Linked DNA regions of Drosophila melanogaster. The protein of the gene in region 1 interacts with the protein of each later gene in a pairwise test. Each region holds a gene or a part of one and is shown on either strand. Other genes may lie near its edges. The genes, in order: sicily and ND-42.

Region 1 (4,684 bases):
CTAAAAATGGTCACAGAGCAAAAAGAATTACCATTTTATACTCCTTATGACCAATACTAACAACCCCTATCACTTTAAAACGGATTTTGTAAAATTAATTTTTGGCCAAATTTTCACATTTTTTGTAAGGGGTAACATCATCAAAATTTGCAAAAAAATGAAAAATCCTAGAATTCCCAAACTTGAATGCAAATCGATTGGGATTTAAAAAACAAACTCAACGAGGTATGACATTCCATATTTGAGTCATTATTTTCAATGTTTTGATCAAAATACCGAATATTTTTTTCACAAAAAATCTGGGAACTACTTTTGGCAAAAAACTCAATTTTCAAGTTGGCTCTTTTGGCTATAACTTGTCTAAAAATGGTCACAGAGCAAAAATAATTACCATTTTATACTCCTTATGACCAATACTAACAACCCCTATCACTTTAAAACGGATTTTGTAAAATTAATTTTTGGACAAATTTTCGCATTTTTTGTAAGGGGTACCATCATCAAAATTTGCAAAAAAATGAAAAATTCTAGAATTCCCAAACTTGAATGCAAATCGATTGGGATTTAAAAAACAAACTCAACGAGGTATGACTTTCCATATTTGAGTCATTATTTTCAATGTTTTGATCAAAATACCGAATATTTTTTTCACAAAAAATCTGGAAACTACTTTTGGCAAAAAACTCAATTTTCAAGTTGGCTTTTTTGGCTATAACTTGTCTAAAAATGGTCACAGAGCAAAAAGAATTACCATTTTATACTCCTTATGACCAATACTAACAACCCCTATCACTTTAAAACGGATTTTGTAAAATTAATTTTTGGCCAAATTTTCACATTTTTTGTAAGGGGTAACATCATCAAAATTTGCAAAAAAATGAAAAATCCTAGAATTCCCAAACTTGAATGCAAATCGATTGGGATTTAAAAAACAAACTCAACGAGGTATGACATTCCATATTTGAGTCATTATTTTCAATGTTTTGATCAAAATACCGAATATTTTTTTCACAAAAAATCTGGGAACTACTTTTGGCAAAAAACTCAATTTTCAAGTTGGCTCTTTTGGCTATAACTTGTCTAAAAATGGTCACAGAGCAAAAATAATTACCATTTTATACTCCTTATGACCAATACTAACAACCCCTATCACTTTAAAACGGATTTTGTAAAATTAATTTTTGGACAAATTTTCGCATTTTTTGTAAGGGGTACCATCATCAAAATTTGCAAAAAAATGAAAAATTCTAGAATTCCCAAACTTGAATGCAAATCGATTGGGATTTAAAAAACAAACTCAACGAGGTATGACATTCCATATTTGAGTCATTATTTTCAATGTTTTGATCAAAATACCGAATATTTTTTTCACAAAAAATCTGGAAACTACTTTTGGCAAAAAACTCAATTTTCAAGTTGGCTTTTTTGGCTATAACTTGTCTAAAAATGGTCACAGAGCAAAAAGAATTACCATTTTATACTCCTTATGACCAATACTAACAACCCCTATCACTTTAAAACGGATTTTGTAAAATTAATTTTTGGCCAAATTTTCACATTTTTTGTAAGGGGTACCATCATCAAAATTTGCAAAAAAATGAAAAATCCTAGAATTCCCAAACTTGAATGCAAATCGATTGGGATTTAAAAAACAAACTCAACGAGGTATGACATTCCATATTTGAGTCATTATTTTTAATGTTTTGATCAAAATACCGATTATTTTCTTCACAGAAAACTGGGAAACTATTTTTGGCAAAAAACTCAATGTTTAAGTTCGCTTTTGTGGCTATAACTTGACTAAAAATGGACTCACAGCAAAAAGAATTACCATTTTATACTCCTTATGATCAACACTAACCATCCCTTTAACTTTTTAATTGATTTTGTAAAATTAATTTTTGGACAAATTTTCGCATTTTTTGTAAGGGGTACGTACCATCATCAAAATTTGCAAAAAAATGAAAAATTCTAGAATTCCCAAACTTGAATGCAAATCGATTGGGATTTAAAAAACAAACTCAACGAGGTATGACATTCCATATTTGAGTCATTATTTTCAATGTTTTGATCAAAATACCGAATATTTTTTTCACAAAAAATCTGGAAACTACTTTTGGCAAAAAACTCAATTTTCAAGTTGGCTTTTTTGGCTATAACTTGTCTAAAAATGGCCTCACAGCAAAAAGAAAAGAAGTCAAGAAGATTACGCATGGCAAAAAAGCAATATTTACGGAAGATAATGTATTTATATACCTAAGCTAAGCTTTATATGGTAAACTACCTAAGCTAAGCTATAATAATGCATTATAAATTTACCAACAAGTCACATACAGCATTTTGAATCTTCCGCCAAATGAAATTTCCGCGTAATCGCGAATACCCCATATGTAGTAACTTTCTGACAGACCGAGTGCGATCTGGCAGCACCGCTCAGAACATATGTTCAGTTGTCTGGTGGAAAGAAGAAGCACAGATGCGGCGCCTGGTGCGAAATTGGAATTGCCGATTGTTATTTAACGCCAAATCCGGCCAAGAAATTGTCAGCCATGCCGGAATTCACCAGGAGGCCAAGACCAATGCGATTCCCAGGGAAAAGAAAGTGATTGAGGCGGACAAGAATGGATACGGGGCCAAACATTGCATGAGTCTAGTGGAGTAAGTAGCGCAAACTTGTCGATTGAAGTTATCCGTATAATTGAACATGGATCTATTCCGGATAACCAGGAAATACGACTACGAGAACTACCTGTGCACCTTGCTCCTACCACGGGAACTGCGACGTGCTGCCTTCGCCCTACGGGCATTCAATGTGGAGGTCTCCAGATCGGTTAGCGGCCATGTGAGTGGAGCATCGAAATTCCTTGGGGCTTATTTTTTAAGTTAGAATAACGTGGCGCCTTAAATTCAGACTCCGTTCAGACTCTGTTACTCCGCATCAATATTATTGTAAGCATAAGTGGCTTATGTCCGCATCTCATGAATATTATTACCATTTCGAACGGTTTCACAAATCTCTTAATTTCTTATGTACACTGCAAGAGTATAATTTCTCTCCTTCCTTTAAAACGGATAGAGAAATTCGTAGAATAAGCAACACTTCGTAGTTTTTAAACTTCTTATTTCTGTCCAGTAAAATCGTTTATATAATGACAAATATCCTTGCAGCAAATTGAGCCGCAAATAGCCAAAATGCGCCTTAAGTTCTGGCACGACTCCATAGACAAGTGCTTTGAGCCGGATTCCCAAAGATCGTACGTGGAGGACCAGCCTGTCCTGCGCGAACTGAAGCACACGGTGGGCAGTCGCAAGCTAAATAAGGTATATTTGCGCCGTCTGGTCACAGCACGGGAACGTCCGCCCACGCATGCATTTGAGTCGATACGCGAGCTGGAGGAGTACACGGAACAGACCTTCTCTTCGCTATTGCTCCTGCTGTTGGAGGTGGGCGGAGTGCGTGACCTAAATGCTGATCATGCCGCCTCCCACTTGGGCAAGGCCCAAGGCATCGCCACCCTGCTGCGATCGATACCGCTGGCAGGACGTCAGCAGGCGCCCTGCATTCCGCTCGAGGTGCTGGTGCTGCATGGCGTCAGCCAGGAGCGCATCATTCGCTCTAAGAGCGACGACAAGGGTGTCGAGGACTGTATATTCGATGTGGCCAGTGCCGCCAATACGCACCTAAAGCTCGCCAGGCAGCTGCACGATAAGGTGCCGCCGCAGGTGCGCAAGATCTTCCTCTCCGCCGTGGCCACGGATGCATATTTGGAGCGCCTCCGCCGTGCCAACTTCCTGTGAGTTCCTTTGTTTTATATTGCTTTGTTTTATATTACGACAAACACAGGAGAGAACCAGCTTCTTTTTGTAGTTAAGATGTTATTTTTATCCAGTTATAAGTACGATTTGCCTTTATTGAGACTTCTTTATTTCAAAACCTAGCTATAGTTTGTTGGTTGTTCAGTATTCATGGAGCGGACCCTTCTTTTTATCAATCCCCATAATAATATAATAATTTTCCCATCTTATAGGCTAACCCACAAGAGCTGCGTAGGCCGCGACACCTTACTGCCAGCACGTTTATTCTGGAAGTCGCTGCTTAATCGGTTCTGATAGCGATTATGTTAGTATGTAGTACGAAATAAATTCTTCATTGTTGACTTCTTTAATAAAAATCACTTTAAAATAAGAGCTCTTACTTTTTCTCGAATCAATAGAAGAGGATTTCCAATGTTTATAAGAATACGAATATGAATCGGATCGGGGATCTTTTGGATGAAATGGGTTAAGAACGGTTGCAGGAATATCGCTATCTCGCTTCGAATCGGGACGTAATTACTATCGATGACAGGTGCACCAAAGGTTCGTCCCGACGAAGGTATCGGTGGATACGATGCAAGACCCGATTGGTACAGTAGTTGCTAGCTGATTTCAGAGCGTTTCAGGCGCAGTTTTAGTTTTTTATGAATGTTAGAATTGATGTGGAAAGTGTGTGTTGGATATTAATGAGAACGGAGCAGTGCGACGATCGCTCAACAAGATAAGCACCGTTTGTTTTTGGGCCCGTTTCCGGCTTCCGGTTGCTAGTTCCGGAAAAATTGCAACGCCTACTTTACGCGTACTTTTGGCATGGTGAGTTTTTGGCGCGCTTTCTTCGCACTCCTGGATTGAACTTTGTAAACCCAGA
Region 2 (4,169 bases), on another chromosome or scaffold:
GATTCAACATTTATTTAAAGAGAGGGCTCAACATCGTTTCGCTTCGCAGCGTCTTAAACGCATTTAACCAAACTCCCTCTTCCATCCATTCGATAACTTAAGCCGATTTTGTACCTATAGCGATCATCTAAATATGCATTCCATCTAGTCGCTACCAGCGGTCACTTTGCCGCCATCCGCGCTGCCAAACTTCTCAAACAGCTCGTACTTCCAGCGCATGTAAGCTACGCGCATTCTGTCCCAAACGTTGTCCACGGAGTCCATGGCTGGGCGCACATCCAGCAGGGCAAAGCGGTAGTCTTTGTCCACCAGTCCACCGTCGTAGTAGTCGATGACGTAGCGCACATCCTTGCCGCAGCGATCGACTATCCAGTCATGCCTATCGAATGGCAGCTCGTATCTGTAAGACAATTCGAACATTAATTCAGGTGAGATCTTCCGTCTGGAGTATACTCACCCCAGCCAGCTGCGGAATCGAGCGCGCGGACTGAAGTCCTTGGCCTTGCCACCGAAACTCTTGAGGCGCGGATTGCCGCATTCCTTGGCGTGAAGCGCCTCCCACTTAAGTACCTCCTGCCAGGCCTGCTCGTTGTTGGCATTGTGGATGCGTATGATGTCGCCCATGTCCTTTTGCGATACGTCCTCGGTCTTCCAGCGCCAGCCCTTGCGTAGCATGGCGTTCCAGAACATCTGTTGGCTGGGATACTGCCAGAATTGAACGCTGCCATCCTCGGTGACTTTGGGAATGGTCGACGTCTGGCGGTCGGTGGGCAGTGGAAAGGGCTGATCTGCCGCCGGCTGTTGGTTTGCCGGTGGCATCATATTCAGCGGATTAACGTCGCTGTTGTCGTGCTGCACCGGACATTCGGAAGCGGCCTGCATCTTGGGATGTGGGGGTACGGCGGAGGCCGATTTTGCATCTCCATGCTTCTGATGCATGGGGCATTCTGGTGGCGGGGCACCACTGCCGCTCATGTACTTGGCGTGGTCCACCGGCACACTCTTCGTGGCCTCCATTTGCACTCGGGTGATGGCTGTATTGCCCATTTCTGCTGGGGATTGGTTAATAACAAAATCTGTGTCACGAGGAAAATCGCATTAGTTCTCAGTTGCGTAACTGTAAGGAGTGGGTTACACTCCCAGTGCTGGGCCCCAACGCCAGGACTTACTCGATCCTAATGGTCACAACTCTCGATATTTGTCGATCTTCTCCTGGAGCCTTTCGCCTTAAATTTTGATTTATATTTTCGTTAGTTCATCGTTAGAACTTTTGAGCCCAAAATGCAGCGAGGTTGTGGTCAGGGCTGCCAGACCAACGGAAAGTGGACCAGTTGTTTCTGCACCGTGACAATATGTTAAGTTAAAAATTTAAAAAATCAACTCGCACCGCACGGCAATGTGAGTTTATGGTGTGTGTCTGTCTACAAATGAAAAGCATTGTTGAATTTATTTCAAGTAAATTAACTTGTAGTTAAACACCCCAGCTGTGCTGTGTAGTGTTGAGCAGTCGCTTTGCGATATTTTTAAAAAGTAAAACAAATACATTTATACATTAAAATGTTATTTTGTAAGTGTTATATAAAGTTTTTAAAATACTGGGTTAAATTTCATTTCATATGAAATTCTTTCTGATTCTGAGAAAAGTCGCAGTTAAAGCATAGACAAACATTTTGATTTTACATTTTTGATATTTGAACGGATACCTTGACAGCCCTATTCGGGGAGTTTTCCAACACCAACCATAGCCCGAAATTTGTTTTTGGGTAGACTTCCGATATTTAGATTGAAAAGTGAGTAAATACCACCGGATAGAGCATTAAAACCGACAATTTGGGTAAATCTATGGAGCGCCGCAATGCTGGCCAGCAGAATGCAACGAAAAGATCCGCATATCTGCAGTTCTAGGGCAGAGATTACCGCACTACCTGCGTAGCTCCTGTGATGTAACCACACGACAAATTGCCACTGGACGAGATATAATTGTTATTATCTTGTTTCGTTTTTGTACTGACCCTTGTTTTCCCTTCAGAATGACCGCCGTGTTCCGCGTAGGACTGGTGCGGCTCGTCAGCCGCGCCACACAGTCGCCCAATCTACTCCAGGCGCAGACGAATGCCCTGCCTGCTGCCTTCCAGCAGCGATGCAGCATCTCCGGCAAGACGATGCGAGGTGGACCACGGGTGCCCAAGGCCGCCCCCTATCCGTACAAGACGAAGAAGTACAGCGTGTTCAATGCTATTTTCGACAAGACCTCCAAGCGTTTTGACGAGAACTCCAAGGTGATCTGTGTGGAGGGACCCATCGCGGCCGGCAAGTCAAAGTTCGCCAAGGAACTGGCTGAGGAGCTGGACATGGAGTACTATCCGGCAGTTGATCTGGACCTAATCTACATCAATTCGTACGGCTATGACATGAGGAAGTTGGATCCTCAGTTGCCGCCCAGCTGCCGAAGCTACGATGTGCGCAACTTCTGCCTGGATCCCAGCCACGATCTGGCTGCCCAGTTCCAGATTCGCATGTACATGCTGCGCTATTCGCAGTACATTGATGCCCTGCAGCACGTCCTTAGCACCGGCCAGGGTGTTGTCCTCGAGCGCAGCCCCTACTCGGACTTTGTCTTCATGGAGGCCATGTTTCGGCAGGGTTATCTGTCACGCGGTGCGCGTTCCGTGTATAATGAGCTCCGACAGAACACCATCGGGGAGCTGCTGAAGCCGCATTTGGTTATCTACTTGGATCTGCCGGTCGATGCCGTGAAGAAGCAGATCAAGGCACGCAATGTGGACTACGAGGTGCAGTCAAAGGTGTTCAGCGATGCCTACTTGAGCGATTTGGAGCAGCTGTACAAGCAGCAGTACCTCAAGGACATCTCCACCCATGCCGAGCTGCTCATCTACGACTGGACAGCCGGCGGTGAGACTGAGGTTGTGGTGGAGGATATCGAACGCATCGACTTCAACCAGTTTGAGGCCGATATTCACAACAAGAAGATGCTCGACTGGCGTTTCCCGCTGGAGGCCGAGTGGTGCGAAGCCCGTATCAAGTACTGCCATGAGAAGCCCGATCTGATGAATTACTTCAATGTGCCGCGTTTCGATGTCCCGGAGCTGGTGCGCAGCGCTGACGACGGCAAAGTCTGGCGTGATGTCTGGTTCAATGTAAGTTCGGTGTTTCCATTTCCCTGTTCGATTTCTTTTCACATTAATTCTGCCCCTTTGCACACAGGCTCCCGGCATGAAGTACCGTCCTGGCTACAATGCAGACATGGGCGACGAGGGTCTCCTCACCAAGACGAAAATAGGCATCAACCAGGGCATCTAGAGGGTTTTTGCTATGCTTTCGAGTTGAAATCACCTGGCGAAATGTGTTAATTATCTAATAAACAGTCTAGTAAAATAATCAGAACCCAATTAGTTAAAAAGCGAATATGGTAAATATCGATTGTAAATACTTTTCATACAACAAAACTCGAACTATTGGGTTTATTTATACTTTTTTTTTAACATAAATTTCGAATTCAGCTTAATCATGAATACCCAAACATATTTCGATCCTCTCCAGTTTCATTGATCAACCAGAGATTAATTTTTTGAAATTTTAAGTTAATTTATGCATTATATTAGGGAATACTTTGTACACATTTAGCACTAAAACTTCAATTGCGCTATGGAACATTTGGGTATTCGTTCTGCCGCGGATACTTCTTAATCGCCGATCAATCGCTGTCGTAATCGTTCTTTCCAGCACCGCCGCCCACAGAGGTGAGCGGTCGCCGTGACTCCTCGTCGGAACCGTAGACAACATCCTCGTCGGAATCGTCGATCATGGAAATAGCCGGATTATCCTTGGTGACAGCCAGCTCCGCCTGGGCGAACCGTCCATCTGGCGAGTACACATACGCCATGGTGTACAGGTAAAAGTTAAGCAGTCCGTAGAAGCACATAAACTGCGCCGAACTGCGATAGGTGGTGTTAAGTGAGGCGACAAAGTTATCCTCCAGGATGCCGAAGCCAAAGCGACACGTCGTCACCGTGATGGATATGGACAGGACGAACAGCATGAGCAGCGTGAGAAACTTCAAGCGCATATCTGGCCAAATGGATTAAGCATTATAATAATAAGATCAGGCTTGGAGCACACTGCATTATGTCTCACCAAAGTACGGCATG

Evidence for each region.
Region 2: the proteins of sicily (region 1) and ND-42 interact in a two-hybrid assay, tested with the Drosophila melanogaster proteins (one study listed by BioGRID).

Annotation. Positions count from the first base shown.
Region 1 is NC_004354.4:11,889,562-11,894,245, forward strand, and holds sicily (severe impairment of CI with lengthened youth), read left to right. Parts: upstream 1-2,170; 5' UTR 2,171-2,476; coding exon 2,477-2,658; intron 2,659-2,727; coding exon 2,728-2,842; intron 2,843-3,168; coding exon 3,169-3,794; intron 3,795-4,028; coding exon 4,029-4,110; 3' UTR 4,111-4,184; downstream 4,185-4,684. UniProt on the Drosophila melanogaster protein: Involved in the assembly of mitochondrial NADH:ubiquinone oxidoreductase complex (Complex I) at early stages. Interacts with cytosolic Hsp90 to chaperone the Complex I subunit ND-42 in the cytoplasm.
Region 2 is NT_033777.3:22,025,991-22,030,159, forward strand, and holds ND-42 (NADH dehydrogenase (ubiquinone) 42 kDa subunit), read left to right. Parts: upstream 1-1,718; 5' UTR 1,719-2,030; coding exon 2,031-3,158; intron 3,159-3,225; coding exon 3,226-3,321; 3' UTR 3,322-3,403; downstream 3,404-4,169. Other genes in the region: Cchl (cytochrome c heme lyase), read right to left, coding at 145-400, 458-1,047; CG13409 (uncharacterized protein), read right to left, coding at 3,716-4,089, 4,156-4,169. UniProt on the Drosophila melanogaster protein: Accessory subunit of the mitochondrial membrane respiratory chain NADH dehydrogenase (Complex I), that is believed not to be involved in catalysis. Complex I functions in the transfer of electrons from NADH to the respiratory chain.